Linked DNA regions of Stegostoma tigrinum. The protein of the gene in region 1 binds, or shares a complex with, the protein of each later gene. Links are inferred from orthologs where the notes say so. Each region holds a gene or a part of one and is shown on either strand. Other genes may lie near its edges. The genes, in order: cnot10 and cnot6l.

Region 1 (9,849 bases):
TCACCCCCCCCCGCCCCGGGCACTCACTGAGCGCTCACCCCCCACCCCACCTCCCTTCACCCCCCCCCGCCCCGGGCACTCACTGAGCGCTCACCCCCCACCCCACCTCCCTTCACCCCCCCGCCCCGGGCACTCACTGAGCGCTCACCCCCCACCCCACCTCCCTTCACCCCCCACCCCACCTCCCTTCACCCCCCCGCCCCGGGCACTCACTGAGCGCCCCCACCCCACCTCCCCTCCCTTCACCCCCCGCCCCGGGCACTCACTGAGCGCCCCCACCCCACCTCCCCTCCCTTCACCCCCCGCCCCGGGCACTCACTGAGCGCCCCCACCCCACCCCACCTCCCTTCACCCCCCCGCCCCGGGCACTCACTGAGCACCCCACCCCACCCCACCTCCCTTCACCCCCCCGCCCCGGGCACTCACTGAGCGCTCACCCCCCACCCCACCTCCCTTCACCCCCCCGCCCCGGGCACTCACTGAGCGCTCACCCCCCACCCCACCTCCCTTCACCCCCCGCCCCGGGCACTCACTGAGCGCTCACCCCCCCACCCCACCCCACCCCACCTCTCTTCACCCCCCGCCCCGGGCACTCACTGAGCCCCCCCACCTCTCTTCAGCCCGCCATCCCGGGCACTCACCCCAAAACCCCGAGCTCTAACCGTTAACCGTGTCCGCTCGCGATCCTGCGCAGCTGCAATGCGAGCGGCGCCCAGTGTTAGCGGCCAGAACTGTTGCGGCGCCTGAAAAAAGAGGATCCGGAAGAAAGGTCAAAGGGCGGGTCCTTTACTGAGAAGGAGGGAGTTGTGAATTGGTCATAGAATCCCTACAGTGTGGAAACAGGCCCTTCAGCCCTACGAGTCCACAGCGAACCTCACAGCATCCCACCCAGACCCATCCCCCGAATCTACACCTTCCTGAATTAAGCATGACCAAACCACCTAACCTGCACATCTTTGGACTATGGGAGGAAACCCATGCAAACACGGGGAGAATGTCTGCGCGGAGTCTGCACAGATGCCAGAGGCTGGAATCAAACCCGGGTCCCTGGCGCTGTGAAGCAGCAGTGCTAACTGCTGTGCCACTGTGTGTCATCTAGGCTAATCATGCATTACAGGTCAGTTATCTCAGTCACAAGATATCAAAGCTAAGAATGTATCCATTTCTTTCGACCTTCCCACAAATTTCATGACACATCTCTCTGATAGTTTCCTGGATCATAATCCACCTCAGTGCTTGTGTTATGAAAGATCAACAGAAAGTTACTGCTGTCTGCAGCAACAAGAACAAAACCATACTCTCAGTTTCGCAAACCTTGAGTGGGACGGAAGTTTCAAAGCAATGCAATTTATGAAGAAGCAAGGTGTATTATTCAAGCAGGATAGAGCAATCTTTTATTTCTAGGAAAGGGAATGAATTGATTTATAAGTGAGCTTTGTTATTCCAGTGGGATGCATACCTAAAGTGTTCTCTGGGCAGCGCAATTCATCCAATATAAATTTAAAAAAGCCATACCAACACAAGCACTGTAAATTCAGCAGAATTACAGGTCACAAAAGGTATACATGAACTGCAGACTTACAGGCCGAGCCAATGTCTGATGCTCAGAATTATTTGGAAATACAGGAACAGGAGTACACGCTGATGTTGGTGGTTGTAAATGCTCTTGAGGAAATTTTAAATCTAGGAAAGGAAAAACCATCCTCAGCACTAAGTCTTTCGTCCTCTATCTTCCTGAAGACACTGATCTACAAAGTTCGCCATGAGTGGCATCAGCATTCTGCTATTTAACACAAGGACCCCTTTTCAATACAACAGTAAGTAAATTCAATAGTTGATGAGAAAGGACATTAAGCTCAGAACCTCTTTTCCACTCAATCACTGGACTGAACTAAATTAGTTGGCAAGATTGCAATGGATTGTTTAGTCAGACTCAGGATGCTGAAGGAGCTGAGTCGGGAGGGGAGATAAAGGAGCAGTCTGGTAGTTTATCAGGAAGGTCGTCCCCTGAAGGCACTCAACTGACCGCTGCTTAAATAAACGGTACCTAGACACTGAGCAAAAGCAGGATGAGAATCACCTTTGTTAAGCCTCTGTCAAACCGACTGTTGCCAATTCTTGGCTAAGCTCATGCATGAATGCTGTTTGTACTGAGTAGCTAACAGCTGCTGCCTCACACTTTCTGGAAAGTATTAGCAGAAAACCAGGCATGGGTTTAAAGCTTTTCCTCCTCTCAAACATAAACCCACATAATTTAACGCATTCTCTGAAATTTAATGTGTCTTTTAAAAGTACAAGTCTACTTTACACAAGTAGATAAGAATTGGATGATGGTTTACATAGTGGGGACTCTGAGAGAATGTTGTTGTTATAACACTCACTTACCCCCACTCACTGACACCTCTAATCTAACTAATTGAGAGACTGAATATCTGAGCCTAAAAAGAAAGGGTTAGAGTGAGTGACATTGGAGAGAGGTCCAGAGGGTGTGACTGTTCGGGAGAAGAACTTTTTGGGGGGGGGAGAGAGAGAGACAGAGTGACTATTGGATAGAAACCCAGAAAGAAAGGGCGAGAGAGAATAATCAGTTGAGAGAAGTCCAGAGAGCAGAAACTAGTTGAGTGACCCAAAGAGAGAGAGAATGTAACATACAGACAGTGGTCTGGACAAAGTAAGCTCCCAGATAGTGAGAGACCTTCAGGGAAGGATCCGTGGGCAGAATCATAGAACTTTTCAGCACAGCAGAAGGCTTTTTGTGCACTGGCCCCTGAACAAGCTCGTCCCATTCTCCAGCCCTGTGTCCATAGCTCTCTGTATTCATCATGTTCAAATATATATTCAGCTCTCTTAAATATCCTATGGAATCCACCTCCATCCCAGGCACCGCATGCCAAATACCTCTGATGCTGCTTGGCCTGCTGTGTCCACCTAGCTCGACACCTTGTTATCTCACATGCCAAATCCAAACAAGTCTCTGAGTAAAGAAGTTTCTCCTCATCTTACGAGATAATAAAATGTGAGGCTGGATGAACACAGCAGGCCCAGCAGCATCTCAGGAGCACAAAAGCTGACGTTTCGGGCCTAGACCCTCCATCAGAGAGGGGAATGGGGTGAGGGTTCTGGAATAAAAAAAATTTCAGAACCCTCACCCCATCCCCCTCTCTGATGAAGGGTCTAGGCCCGAAACGTCAGCTTTTGTGCTCCTGAGATGCTGCTGGGCCTGCTGTGTTCATCCAGCCTCACATTTTATTATCTTGGATTCTCCAGCATCTGCAGTTCCCATTATCACTGATACAACTTCTCCTCATCTTACTCCTTGTCCTCTCGCTGACAATCTTGAAAATGTAACTCCTAGTTGCTGATACACTAAATGGTAGAAACAGAATACCTCCTTTACCCTGTCAAAATTGTTCTAAAATTTGAATACCTTGAAAGGGCAACACTTTGTCTTCTCTGCTGTAGGGAGAGTGAGTTCAATTTCTATGATCTTCTATCTAATTTCTGTCATTCCTAGTGTCATTTGCACTCTCTCCAGGGCTTTAATACCTTTCCTTAAATAAGGAGCCCGGAACTGAACACTATGTTCCAAATATGATCTGACAAATGATTTAATATGACCAATGACGTAGTATTACTTCCCTGCTTTTATGCTGTATACTGTATTTACACAGCTCACAGGTGCATAACAGCTGTCAACATCATTAAAGACACATTGCTCCCTGGTTATGACCTCCTAGAACCTCTTACATCAGGCAGAAGACACAGAAACCCAAACACATGCACAAGCTTCAGAAACAGCTTCTTTCCGGCCATTATCAGACTGATGAATGGACTCTGGACTCTAGCCTCAAATAACGCAACCTGCAATGAAACCTGTATGCCTCTAATTCTTTTTGATCTGCTTGCCTGGCCACTTTCAGAGAATTCTGCACTTGAATCCTGAGGTCCCTCTGCTCCTGTGCTCCCTTTAAAGTTGTATCATTCAGCCTGTAATGTCTTTCCAGGTTTCTTCTATCAAATGTGTTACTTCACATTTGTATGCATTGACATTCATCTGCCAGGCATTTGCCCAGGTTGCCAAATTGGCATTGTCTCCCTGATGTCACTCAACGTCATCTTTACAATTTGCAATTCTCTTAGCTTAGTATCCTCTGCAAATATAGAGACTTTGTCCTCAGCAACCATCTCAGCAGTCAATTATATCAATCAGAAAAGTCAAGAATCCCTACACTGATCCCTTGGAAACATCATTGACAACTTGTCTTTAGTCTGAGAAATACCCATCTATACTTACCCTCTGTTTTCTATCATTTAACATACAGAGTGGTCAAGAGAGAGAAAATAACTGATAGAAAGTCAATGATCCAGACAAAGTAAGCTATAAAGAGAATGGAGGAGCAAATTACTGCAGATGCTGAAATCTGTACTGAAAATAACAAATGTTGGAAATCACGGCGGGTCAGACAGCATCCATGGAGAGAGAACAAGCTATTGTTTTGAGTCTAGATGATTCTTCATCAGAGCCCTGATGAAGAGTCGTCTAGACTCCAAATGTTAGTTTGCTCTCTGTCCAAGGATGGTGTCTGGCCCACTGTGACCTCCAGCATTTGTTGTTTTCAGTAAGCCATACAGAGAGATTCACAGGAAAAGAATAAATCGTAATGAGAGACCAAGAATGACCCAGAGAATGACCGATACACTGACAGTCTATGTCACTGATCCTAACCCCTCCATGGTGTACCTCACTGTCCTCCCAACATGTAGCAGCTTTAATGTTTATATTTGCATTTATCTGCCCAATTGCGTGTAAGTACTCCTTTGTAACCTGTGGCACAGTGGCTCAGTGGTTAGCACTGCAGCCTCACAGCACCAGGAACCCTGGTTCAATTCCAGCCTTGGGTTACTATCTGTGTGGAGTTTGTACATTCTCTTTGTGTCTGCATGGGTTTTCTCCCACAGTCCAAAGATGTGCAGGCTAGGTGGATTGGCCATCCTAAATTACCCATAGTGTTTAGGGGGATGGATCTGGGTGGGATGCTCCAAAAGGTGGGGTGGAATTGTTAGGCCGAAGGGCCTGTTTCCACACTGTAGGGAATTTAATCTCTTAAAAAAAACCTGCATTGGAATTTGTGTTTTACATGTCTGCAGAGTTCAATTTATAATTGTTTCCTATATCCAGCTCATTCCTATGAAATGGAAATGGTATTGACCACCCTCTCTGCATTACTGTCAGGATAAGGATTTGAATACTTAGTACTGAGATGGAGGAAATCTTCATTCAAAGTTTGCAAATATTCCGTATTATCTATAAATTCATTCAGTACCTTGTTCAAACATATTCTCCACCCGTCATGGTCGTATTATTCGATGTTTCGTTTCTAAATTAATATTTCCTGTTTAATATTGTCCCACTTTCTACTGGAAATGTCCTCACCTTGCTTTTAACATAATTTATATGGACAATGAGGTATATAATTGAGATTTTATTTGTAATATTTTATAACTTCAATGCTCATTCCCTTTTCCACTACTAAACCCATTCATTAAACTGCTAGAGCAGATAAAGAGTATTATCTGTAATACTCTTTACGTTTTTTATCCAAGAATTGATGTGATGGATAGCTAATGGGTTCAATATTGTTAATGGACGGACTTGTTCTATTTTTTACATTTAAGCATATCAAATATCACCACAGGACCAGGTGCATTAATTGTATGTTCTATTTTTACAATGCATCCTATACGCGATGCAATATTTGATATTTCCTACAGTATAGCGTACAACATTATAATTCCATAGGATTTGGTATATTGCATATTATATTTCTTTAGGGTGTATTACACTGTAATGTAATGAATATACAAGATGCACCAAGGATAGCCTCTTACAGGAAGTGACGCTCATTAGATGCGCCTGGATGACTGATTTCCGGCGGGGCCTTGGGTACACGGTACTACACCTTACCCGGCTCTGGGGCTTGGGCTCCTTCCCCGTCCTGGGGAGGGGGGGCGGAAGAAGTGAATGGGAATCATGTCAGATCCTTCTGCGGCGAGTAATGGAGGTGAGGGGTCTAGGGTCGGTAAGGAAGTTGTGTGTGTGTGTTTGTGCGCGTGTGCGTGTGCGCACACGTACGGGGACGGACACTTGTGAATTGTGAAGGTGGTGAATCAATTCCAGTCTAGAATCTGAAATATATTTGTTTAGCCACAAAGCAGTTGGAGTCTCAACCTGTCTGTCTCGAAGGATGGTAGATCACACAATCTCACAAGACTTTAAAAGTATTTTCATGTTCATTTGCTGGAACCAAAGAGGATTATGGACTAAGTGCTGCAAGGTGGGTTAAGCTGGGTAACTGTATTTGTACTAAATGGCCTCATTCTGTGCCATAAGACAGATAGTGCTGTCCTGACTGCTCAGTGACAGAGTAAGCATGTTTAAAAAAAACTGTTGAGGTAGTTAAAAATTTTTAACTGAAGTGATGTTTTCTGTAAAATATGCTGAAATGCATAAATTACAACTATGTAATTTTCAATGCCAGCTAAAACTCTTCACTGAAATGCTCAAGCTGATTATACCCCTGTTGTTGTCACCATCCATTTCAATTTCTTTCAAAACATTTATTCATTACCCCTCTAAATGAGTTGTTTTGATTTTGGTTTGTAGTTACATTCTCTGGGTTTTGTAGAATGAGAGGTGATCTCATTGAAGCAGATAAAATTCTGACAGGGTATGGGCTGACAGACTGTTTCTCCCTGGCTAGGTGGTGAAAATGTAATCCCATGATAAGGAGTTTATGAATGAGATGAAAAATTCCTTCACTTTTGCAGAAGCTCAAGACTGATTTTAGCTAAGTTTTTATTGGTTCAGAAGAAACTGCAGATTTTTAGAATGTGAGGAAAGAAATTGTAATATGAGAAACAGATATGCTAAATAAATGTCTTTGTTTTGTTTTGTAGATCAGAATACTGATGTGAAAACAGAGAGTAATTCTCTTTCTTCAGGGGTTGCTGACCATGTCAAGGAGCTTGCAAACAATGCTTATCAGGCTTACACTGTAAGTATTACATTATAAAGAGTTACCATGAAATCAAGTTTCATGGGCCAAGACAATTGCAATATTTCTTTTCTATTAATTCCGTTGATTGAATTTCATGGCCAGTTAATTTTTGTTCCAGGCTTTTGAGTTGTTACGATTAGCATAGTCTTCCACGCTGTTCGTGTCAATAGAAAAAGACACTTCCATAAACAGCTGTGTGTCTTCTATAATCTGAAACTTAATGCCTGAAGTGTGATATGCAAGGGAATAACATGGTACTGTTATTCTCTACACCACTGAATAGGAAATGAATTGAGCTCCTTTTTCTGAAACTTAACACAGGTAGCAGCAGTTAGATTTATTTCCATGTAAATAACACCGAATTAAATGATCATAAGTAATGATATTTGCACATATTGTACTATATCATAAAGTTGTTCTTCAGGATTTTTTGACCAAATGATCATAATGTAACATTTTCAGCAGTTTCCTGTTGTTTGCTGTTATTGTTACAATGTGATAATGGGTCAAGAACAAGACAGTACACGCATGCGCATGTACACATGCTGTCATCCAATTTTGAGTCCTGGTAAGAAGAAAAAAAATTGGTGGTTCTTGTAGTGTCTGTAGTGTCCTCATCTGCTGAGTCAGGACACCTGGGTTCAAGTCTGCTCTAAGAGGTGTGTGATAACATCTGTGACACATTGAGTCAAAATTTCTAAAATGGTAATTGTTGAAGTTAGCTTGTTTTCTATTTCAATAGAACGGAGTATGGGAATTTACAGTTTGAGGTATGACAGAAATTTCCAGCTGTTATCAGGATGACAGGATTCAATGTGCTCGCTCCTTGTTTACCGAGTGCACCAGTCGGTCTATTTCATTTGTTTCCCCTCCCCTAACAGCATCTTACATACTGTGATTTATTAAAACTGCATCAGTGTTTATTTGGATGTATGAACTATGAAGTTCCAGAAAATTGTTTGCTGCAAACAGCGGTTGATTTTATATACATTTTCTTAATTTTGCCGTAGTCCGGACAGTTTGACGCTTGTCTGCAATATCTGGGTCATCTGCAAGAGCTGAACAAAGATGATTACAAAATATCTCTGAATAAAGCGGTGGCAGAGTTCTACAAAAATGGACAGACTTTGACAGATACCTTAAGGCAGACTCTCAACCTGTTGAAAAATCAGGTAAAACTGATAAACCGTAAATGTTTTAAGAGATACCAAGGTGTCGAATTGTTTGAACGCAGCAGGCCAAGCAGCATCAGAGGAGCAGGAAGGCTGACGTTTTGGGCCTAGACCCTTCTTCAGGTCTAGGCTCGAAACGTCAGCCATCCTGGTCTTCTGATGCTGCTAGGCCTGCTGTGTTCACGCAGCTCTGCACCTTGATATCTCAGATTCTCCGGCATCTGCAGTTCCTACTATCTCTGAAACAATGTTGTTTTAACTCTGTGTATTCTGTATGAGATGTTAGTAAAGAATGTCCTTTGAGACAGCCTCCCCAAAAAGGCCTTTTTGTTTTAAAACAACATCTCAATGCATGATTTAATGGGGTACTACAGTATAACAACTGCAGCCATAATTGCTGAATCACATCTGGTACCTTGCATCAATTATTACTTTTCATCCAGCATCAAATGGTTTTTGCCATTTCCTAATTCATACACTTAATAATTTTAAACTCTTCACCACGTGGTTAATTTTCCCCTGTCAGTTGATGTCATCTGTGTACTCGACCATTTAAAATTGCAAAATTGTAACAGAATTAGGCTAGACGTAGCAATGTATAGAGCTGGATGAACACATCAGGCCAAGCAGCAACAAAGGAGCAGGCTGCTTGACCTGCAGTGTTCATCCAGCTCTACACCTTGTCATCTCACATTCTGCAGTTCCCGCTTTCTCTGAAATAGAATTAGACTAGTCAGTTTGTTTTGCCATTGTCATGTAAGTTCCTGTTTAAAGCTGAGATGTGAAGGAATTTAAGCTGTGAAGGCCTAGAGTCTTTGGAATGCCCTTCCCCAGAGAGCAGTGGAGGCCAGGTCATTAAATAAGAACCGAAATAACTGCTGATGCTGTAAATAACGGAGTTAATTCTGGTTTGCTGCAGTGTTCCAGCGAAGCTTAATGCAAGCTGGAAGAACAACGCGTCATTTTCCACTTGGGGACCCTGCAGCTCTCCAGACTCAATATATCGAATTCAATAATTTTAAGGCCTAATCTCCCATGCCATAGCTTCCCCCACCGCCCCCCACTCCAACCCCAGACACCAGGCCTTATCACAAAGCCTGCCATTGCACACTACCTATTGTTATGTCATTAACAATGCCCATTAACAGCTATTCACCCTCCTACCCAGAACGTTAGCAACTCCTTTGTCTACCCAACTGTTCTTGTCTCTCTCTGGGCTCTATCCTATAGTTTACTCCCTACACCATCCCACTCACTATTTTCTGCATGAAACCTACGTTTTCCTAACTGCTGTCAGTTTTGAGGATGGGTCACTGGACCTGAAACGTTAACTCTGATTTTTTTTTTTTTCTTTGCAGCTGCTGCCAGACCTGGTGAGCTTCTCCAGCAACTTTTGTTTTTGTGCCAGGTCATTGAATATGCTCAGGGCTATATTAGACCCTCTTTTGGTTGACGAGGGGGCCTAAGATCAAGAGATAGTCAGGAAAGTGGAGTTAAGGCAACAATAAGATTAGCCCTGATTTTATTAAATGACTGAGGAGCCTTGAGGGGCCAAATGGCTTTCTCTTCTTATTTATTGTGCCCATATCTCTCTTTAACTGAAACTTCCAATCTTATTT
Region 2 (9,027 bases), on another chromosome or scaffold:
TGTGAGGTAGGGATGAGGGGGTGCTGTCGGTGGGGGGGTGGGGGATGAGTTTTTGTTTACTCAAAATTTTGTTCATACTTAAAATTTCTGCCTGAAAGGGTGGTGGAAATAATTTCAGTATCTTTCAAAAGGGAACAAATATCCTAAAAAGGGGAAACTTTTTTGGCTTTCGAGAAATTGAAAGGAATTGCCGTTAAATTGTTTCACTCTTTCAAAGATCTGGCACAGGAATGATGGGCGAACAGCCTGCGTTTGTGCTGTAAAAGTCAATGATCAAAACATGAAATCATGATAGTGCTGCATGACAGAACACAATGTAACCAATTTAAATAAAAGATTTGGTTGTTTGACAGTCATTTTGTCACGTCTACCATTGGAAACATTTTCTCTGTAAAGACCTCTCATGATGTTGAACAATTCTATCAAACCTTCTTTCAACCTTATCTCTCTAAAATGAACATGCCCGGTTTCTCTAATTTGTATAAGCAGCTAAAGATCCTCATTCCTGTTTTATTTAAGTAAATCTTTTCTGTATTCTCTCTAAGGCCTTTCTCATCTGCAGAGTGTAGTGCCCAGAATTGTGGCTGGACTGATGTTTTAGAAAGGCTTTTTTGTACTGTCTGATAATTTTGTCTGGATTATCATTTCTAAAGGCTACTCCAAAACCGAGATTGGCCTACGGTTGCTGGCTTTATTTTGACACCCTTTTGTGAGCAGGAGTAAAACATTTCAGTTCTCTAGTCCTTTGGTACTATTTCTGTATCAAAAAGAATTGTAAGACAATGGTCAGTGCTTCTGCAATTTCCAGCCGACTTGCCAAGCATCTTTGGACACTTACCTTGAACCTTGAAGTTTATCTATTTTAAGTACAGCCAGCCTTGTAAAACACACTTTTCATCAATTATTAGCCATTCTGAACTATTTCCATCTTTACTGTGATTTTCCTTTTTCCTGGTAAAGAGAGATGTAACATACTCGTTTTAGTACTTGGGAAATGACTTCTGCTTCCAAGCAATGCGTTTAGTTTAGTTTCTATGCCTACCTTTTATTAACCATCTATTCTTGCTTACATATCTATAATAAACATTTATATTCTTTTGGCCTTTTTTCACTTGGCTGCAGTTACAATAAAAATTCATTGCGCTCACTAGGAAATATCATTTAGAGAGAGAGAGAAGTTCCTTAGTGGGATCATGCATTCCCTGCCTGGGTCTCCTTGCCTATCCAGGGTTCACCTATTCCTTTTTTATCTCCCCATAATAAGACATGGGATGACACCCACTGGAAACATGCTTTCCAGATAGCCCTCAGATATGTGGATGCATCAAAGTGCCCTGAGCTATTGCTCAAGCATCAAAATCTGGAGCTCAGCTTCCAAGCTGACAACATTTCCTGCTCATATTGTTGACACAGACATGAGAAGCCCCCTGGAATTTCCACATGCTACAGGATATGTGTTTGACAGAGCTGAGGTACACTGCAATGTCTCTGTTTATTAATAACTTGCCAAGTTTGGGAGAAATAAAATTTAAATCTTGAAATAATTTAAGACTTAGAATTTATAACCTCACACTTTTAAACTGGTTGAATTATTCTTGTTTCTCATTTCAGATTCTTATCTTCATACTCACCCAAAATTACAAATTAGGATTCTGATACAAGTTTCTCTCTGCAGTGTGTCTGATGTCACTTTATACTCATAGATCACAGAATAACATACCAGCCTTGTCAACCCCTGCTTTAGAGGCAGTAAAGGTAGAAAAGCAAGGGAAAAAAAGCATTCTGAGGGTATGAAATAGAGGTAGTAATGAACGATGCCGCAACAGTGGAAGTAAGTAAAATTGTGATTGTGGATTGAAACTTAACAACAACAACATTACATTTATATAGCCATTTTATTACAATGAAAAATTCCAAGAAAATTCATAATAACATTACAAAACAATCTATGATAACAAATACGGAGTTGCTAGGTTGTATAACAAAATGTTTGGCCAAGAAGGTAGGGTGTGGGATGGCAGGGTGGGATACATAGGGGTCCATTGGAACCCAATGACCAGGCCTGTACGTTCTCGTGGGGACTTCCGCTGGGCTGATGTTGGGCTAGTGGAATCATTGTACATGTGTCAGGGTAGGGCTGGGTCCTGGAGCATGGGGTTGGATGTGGTGTGTATCCTTGAGGCATTGGCAAGACTGGTAGTTGCAGGCTACTGTGCTTAGGTTGGGGAAGTCGGGTCACTAATCAGGACCTGGGCTGTTTGGACTGGGGCCTCTTATGCTCAGATCAGGGTGGGGTTTCTGTACTTGTGCCTGGGATGGAGGTGCTGTACTTTGGTGGGGTTCAGTTTCCAGCTTGACATTTGGGCCCAGGCCAGAAATAGCACCACAGCTCATGTTTTCTGGCTTGGCCCTTACAAAATGATAGGTTTAAAATGTGTCTTAAAGATGATATTGGATTAGATTGTGGAAATATCTACGGAACAGAGGTGATAGCTGAATAGGACATTGTTGTGAATTATGACACAGGCTGCTGAGTTTCTGATGAGTTCAAGTTCAGAGAAGGTAGGATGCATGTAACCAGCCAGCAGTGTTTTGAAATAGTCGAGTTGGTGAAGGCATGAATGAGGGCGTCTGCACCAAATTAGCTGAGGTGAGATGTTAGAGAGGGGGAAGTAGTTAGTCTTAATGATTGTATAAATATGAGGTTGGCAGCTTGTTTTAGGAACAAATATGACTAAGTTTGTGAACAGACTGGTTAATCTGGGTGGAATCAGTATTTCGGGTTTGGAGTTTGCATTTGAAAATAATGAATTCAGTGCTTTCAGTATTTAGAAAATGGGAGTTATTTCTTCTCAACTAGCTTTAGCTGTTGAATAAACAATCTGATCATTTAGCAACAGTGGAAGAGTTGAGAGAAAATGTGGTGGGGTAGAGGTAGCTGTTAATGTAAAATTGAAATTAATACTTTGAATGATGTTGCTGAGGGGTAGTAGGTGGGTGAGGTAAAGGACGGGGCCGAGGGTAAATTCCTGGGGATGACCAAAAGTATTTATATAGGAGGACGAAGTGAAGCCACTGCAAATGATGGTCTAATTATGATTAGGTAAGTAAGAATTAAGCCATGTGGCAGCATTTCAGTCCTTGCTGGACAACGATGAAGAGATTTTGGCAGAGAATAGTCCGTTCAACTGTGGTAAGAATTGGAGAAATGCCAAGAATGTTGAGAAGAAATTGTGACTTTGATATTAGGGCCATTTTGAATTGTGGCAGGGACAGAATTCTAATTGGCTGAGGCTTGACTCAACTCTGAAGTTACATATAGACCAATCCTGGATGTATCATTTCAAATTAAACATTGGAAAGCCATTATCAACAGCCTTCTCCAGGAATTGGGTTGCTCATTCCATTCCCCACCTTGGCTATGCTGAAACAGTAACCAAACTGCTTATATCCATGGCATCTCATGTCACTTTGAGATTAGCATTCACCCCATATCCTCCCCATCACAAAGACTATTTCCACCTACTAATCTTGATCTGCTCAACTACTGGGAAAAGCCTCCCTATGCTTTGATTACATCTAGGCCTGTCCATTGCAACATAAAAAGTTGTATTTCTAACATGCATTAACATTTTAAAATCTATCAAATAACTTCACAGGAGCATTATAAATAAACCCAAACTCTAACTGACAGCTAATATTAGAGCTGTTGACCAAAAGTAGATGAGGCGAGAGCGATGCAGAATTGGTCAGTATGATGGAAGTGGACAAAAGTAATCTCAATCATGATATGGTTATCTGGTTGAAAATTCATCTTGGGATCAAATATTATACTATAGTTGTGTACAGACAATTGGCAGGGAAAGGAATTTGGTCAGCGGTGCAGGAATATGTTCTTTGACTTCCTGCCTTCCAATCACATGATTTTGACCTAATTCAAAAGAATGATTTCTGGATGCTAACCTACATAAAATCCTGAATACCTATCACATCTGTGCTCATTGTTTCCAGTCATCAATGCCTGAATTTTAAAACTTTTATCCTTTATTTAAACCTTTTGGTTTAAATTCTCACCCTTACCTGTCACCATCTGCTCCAGACTGCAACCTTTCAAGAGCTCTGCCTCCTCCAACCCCTTTGCGCCACGATTGGCACTTGTGCCTTCAGCTGTCCATGCCTCACAATTTGAAATTTTCTTTCTAAATGTCATGCTTTCCCACCAAAACCTTTGCTTTAAGATTTTATGAAACTACCTTCTGGACTGAATTTTTGGTCACTCCAAGTAACTTTTTTTTGCTTGTAATCTATTGTCTATGATTATATATTTTGAAGCGGATTGAAATGTTTCTTTTCTGTAGTACAAACATGTGCTATGCTGTCTGTACATATTGTAAGTGTAAAATGCTGTGTACATTTATGTACAATAAATATATTATGAACAGGGTAAATGTGAACAATAGAAAGTTTGTGCACACGACATTATGAACAGAGTATATGTGGTAAATATTGTGTACATAATACATTACTATTATTCTATGTGATCATACTTATTGTGGACTCTATATTTTGCAAGGTGTATCTTGTTCTCTGTCTATATAATTTGGTGTTATACACTATGCATATTTCACAAGGTTAAATAGAACGCATATTCTTTTATGTTCTATATCATTTCCCCACTTTTACCCATGGGGATAGAGCTGGGGTAGGTTTGATGGGCAGATTGGCCATTGTTCTGTAATTATTTTATGATTATGTCTGGATCCTGAACGTTGAATAGAGTATGTTTGTATTTCGTGACCACTGCATTTTTGCACAGAGTATATAAATTGTTTACATGGTCATACAGATGGTATTAATAGTATAAATTATATATTTTACATGTGTGTATGAACATTGCACACACGGTATAGATCACACATTTATATATATAGTGCACACCCTTTGCTGTACACCAGCTGCTAGGAGGGAGGCGGTCGGTGGAAGGCAGGGCCATGTCAGGGATTCAGTGAGTCCGCTTGGCTCTGGGTGTGAGGTGTGTGTTGTTTTGGTGGGGGGGCATCAGCAATCGGATCGCTCGCTGGCGGGGACGGCGTTGGTGTCTCTCGGTCTTTCCAGCGCCGCGTCTCCGGAGAGATGTGAGCGTCGCTCGGGCTGGAGGTGAGTCTGAGAGCTGGGCCTGAACCTCTCGGTTCCTGGGAGCTGCTGCCTGGGCCCTGTCTCCGGCCTATTGGCGGTTGAGGGGATACCCGGACCTGTGAGCGAGGCCCTGGGGCGGTGGAGGGACGGACAGACATTACAACTGCCTCAGCCCATCGCGGATCGGGGGTTTGAATCCATGTTTTCTTGTTTTGCTGGCCGCAAGAAGCGGGAACCTTGGGGTCTGTATTGATTGACTGGACCCTGAAAGGTAGCGATTGGGGCTTTGTTGCGGGAGGTTCGGAAAGACTTGGTGGTGAAGTTCAGGCACTTCCCCTTCACCTTAATGTTTGTATCGCGATCATAAACCTTTGCTCTGTAGATTTATAGAGTTCCACTTTTAAAGGCTGGAAATTCTATTGATGGCGTATTTGTGAGGGGGGAACTTTATTCTTAGGCAGCAAGTTTTAGAGTTTGGTTTGGTTGTGTTGTGGGCCCATTAGTGGAGAGCTTCAAGGTTTTAAGTGAGATCTTGTTTCCTGTCTCTGAGAAGATATCCTTGCAGAAGAGAAAGTAGAGAATAATAGAGAGGGATATTTTGCCAACTTTTTGATGCTGAGAATTTTCTGCGCAGTAATAACTAATTTTGGTTGCATTATATGTAGCAGACATATCAGCCTGACTTAAAAAGACCAGTGATACTCATTCCACGTGTAATGTAATTGTGTTTTGAGAATTTAAAAGTGATACTTATTATTAGATTGTGCTCTGAAAATTGAATTCAAAATGCTTTTCAACATTGCATCTGGGGTCATTGTAACAGAGGAGAACATTTGGCTTATTGAGTCTGTGCTAGCTCTTGAGCAGTTAGTCCTCTTACTATTTCTGGAGCTTTTCAAACTTATTTCCTCAAACACACCTTCTTTTGAATCAACTCTTTGTTTTTGTTTTTGCTGTTCTTATGCATATAAAGTTGCAGGTCATTTCCACTTGCTGGGGGATTTTTGAGATCTTTCTCCCAATCCACTGTGTGTCTTGCTGAAAGCTTCAAATATGTGCCCCTTAGACTCTGTATGATCAGTTCATGAGAACTGCATATTTTTGGCTTTTATAAGCCTTGTATATCTGTAAATCACCTGTTTCCTCAATGTTTAATTTTGTAGTTGCTAACCATGATGATTATTCATTTTGGGGGCCGATTTAGCTCATTCGGTTTGTTCAGAGTAATGCCAATTGCATGGGTTCAATTCTGCACTAGCTGTGGTTACCATGAAGGGCTGTCCTTCTCAGCCTCTCCCTCACCTGATGCATGTTGATCCTCAGGTTAAACCTCCACCAGTCACCTAACTTTGGGAGGGCAGCAGTATGGTCCGGTAGGACTGTAATGATTTTACCTTTTACCTTTTACCTTTACTCAGGTTCACGTGAGGCAGCATCATTTGTCTTCTGTGTTATTAATAGAACATGTTTTTTTTTCTTTCTTTCATGTAATAAACTTAAGATGTATCTAAGACAATTTTGCCATTGTAGGATCTAACTAAGTCTCAATGCATTCACCAACACTATCCTCCTACAAATCCTCAATTTCACAGAAATGTCACTCCTAGCTAAAGTCTTACGTTTTCACCTAACTGAACTCTCCCAGATTCTTTTCCTTGGACCACAGAGACAGTTTTACAATTCCTTTCTGAGATGAATAGTATGAGCCTTTGACAGTTCTGGTTACCTTCCAGTTCGAGCAATTTGAAGATTTCTATCAACACTGTACAGCTTTAGAAGCTCCACAAGGGAGTTTTTAAAAAAAAATTCATGAGCAGGGTGAGGGCATCACTGGCCAGGCAGCATTTATTGCACGTCCCTAATTGCCCAGAGGGCAGCTGAGTCAAGCATAATTGCTGTGGGTTTGGAGTAACATGTAGGCCATACCAAGTAAGGATGGTGGATTTCCTTCCACAGAGGAAATTAGTGAATCAGGAGGGTTTTTCCTGCAATTGACCGGATTCACTGTCATCATTAGACTCTTAGTGGATTTTGAATGCAATAAATATTTGGACCTATCTGCCGTGATGGGATTTGAAACAGGGTCCCTAGAACATTACCCACGTGTCTGGATTGACAGTCCAGCAATAATACCACTAAGCGATCACCTCCTTTGTGGTGTTGATGTACTGGTGATGTCACTGCAGAATCCCAGGCTAATGTTCTGGGGAAAGGAGTTTGAATTCCACTACGGTAGATGATGAAGTTTGAAATCAATTTAAAAAAATCTGGAATTAAAAGCTAGTTTAATGGTGACCATGTAATCTCTGTTAATTTTCATAAAAACCAATGTGGTTAGTTCATATCCTTTAGGGAAGTCGTCTGACCAATACATGGTTGCAGATCCATAGCAATGTGATTAACCTATAGGTTCCTTCTCTTTTCCAGCGGGGATCTGGGATGGAGAGTTTTGCACGCAGCAGTCCCATGCAAGTACACTGGATCCCAGGCTACACAAAGTTTTGGTGGCCTGAGTGAAACCATTTGTCACATTTATGTTGAATGTTTTCATTTGAAGCCCCTTTTTAGTTTTTGAAGAGGTCATTTCTAATTTTTTTTGGCTCTTCAACCCCATGTTCCTGTTTTACAGGCACCCAGTGTGGGGGAAGTGCAGACAGATCAGAGGGCATCCTTCTGGGTTAGGCCAAAGAGGCTTTAACAGATCCTGACAGCAGGCCATGGAGGTGGTCTTTGTGCCTGACTGCCCTTCATTTGCAGTCATGTCTGCACTTGGTTGGCCATTGAGAGGGAGTGTGCACTGTTCTCTCGCGTGCTAGATGCCTTTAGAGACCTTTAGATGGTACAGGGGCTGGGGTGCATCACCACCCTGGACAATATTATTTTGATTTAATGACTTGCTGTCAGTCGTTTATTTGCAGATTTTGTTTATATTTCCCCACAAAGAGCTTTTTGACTTGATTGAGTAGAAGCTCCATAAGCTAAAACACTTTGGCTAGGGTGACTGATTCGAATAAAAAAAACTTGACTGTTCCACCAGGAGAATTGTTCTCCCTTTTGAATGCACTTAATTTTTCTTTTCTGAGCTGAGACCTTGAACTTTTTGTAGTCAAAGCTGTACTTAAGATTTCTGCTCCTTTGGGCAGTGTGGTGGCACAGTGGTTAGCTCTGCTGCCTTACGGCATCAAGGACCCGGATCCAATTCTAGCTTTAGGTTACTGTGTGGGGTTTGCACGTTTCCTTCATGTCTGTGTAGGTTTCTGCTCTGATTCCCTGCCATAGTATAAAGATGTTGAGGTAGGTGGATTGGCCTTGGGAAATGAGGGTTATAGAGATGGTGTGTGATAGGTCTGGGTGGGATCCCACAGAATCAATACCTGTTGAGAGCAACAAAATCCTCATCTTTGTCTGAAGTGGGTGACCCTTTATTCTGAGATTATGTTCTCTGGTCATAGAGGTCTATCCAGAGCTCAAGGAAAGGCCATTTGGCTCATTGAGTCTGCCCTGGTGGAAAATCAACCACCTGACATTATAATCCCAGTTTTCAACATTTGATCCATAGCCTTGTATGCCTTGGCATTGCAAATGCACACCTAAATACCTCTTAAATGTTATGAGGGTTTCTTTTCTACCAACCTTAGATGCAGTGAATTCCGGATTCCCACGACCGACTGGATGAAAAAAAAGACCTCACATCCCCTCTAAATCTCCTGCCCCTTAGCTTAAATCTAAGCCTTCTGGTCACAGCTCCTTCCAATAAGGGGAAAGGTTCCTTCCAGTTTACCCTATCTGGGCCTCTTACTTTATACATCCCAATCATGTACCCCCCCCCCCCCCCCCCCCCCCGCCAACCCCAGCCAAATCTTCTGTATTCAAAGACAAACGACACAGTCA

Evidence for each region.
Region 2: cnot10 (region 1) and cnot6l share a complex: the UniProt entries of both Homo sapiens proteins name them as parts of the CCR4-NOT complex. The link is inferred for Stegostoma tigrinum from reciprocal best matches to the Homo sapiens genes CNOT10 and CNOT6L.

Annotation. Positions count from the first base shown.
Region 1 is NC_081358.1:37,182,780-37,192,628, reverse strand, and holds the start of cnot10 (CCR4-NOT transcription complex subunit 10), read left to right. Parts: upstream 1-5,922; 5' UTR 5,923-6,022; coding exon 6,023-6,062; intron 6,063-6,957; coding exon 6,958-7,055; intron 7,056-8,068; coding exon 8,069-8,230; intron 8,231-9,849. UniProt on the Homo sapiens protein: Component of the CCR4-NOT complex which is one of the major cellular mRNA deadenylases and is linked to various cellular processes including bulk mRNA degradation, miRNA-mediated repression, translational repression during translational initiation and general transcription regulation.
Region 2 is NC_081354.1:70,271,181-70,280,207, reverse strand, and holds the start of cnot6l (CCR4-NOT transcription complex subunit 6-like), read left to right. Parts: upstream 1-4,963; 5' UTR 4,964-5,157; intron 5,158-9,027. UniProt on the Homo sapiens protein: Has 3'-5' poly(A) exoribonuclease activity for synthetic poly(A) RNA substrate.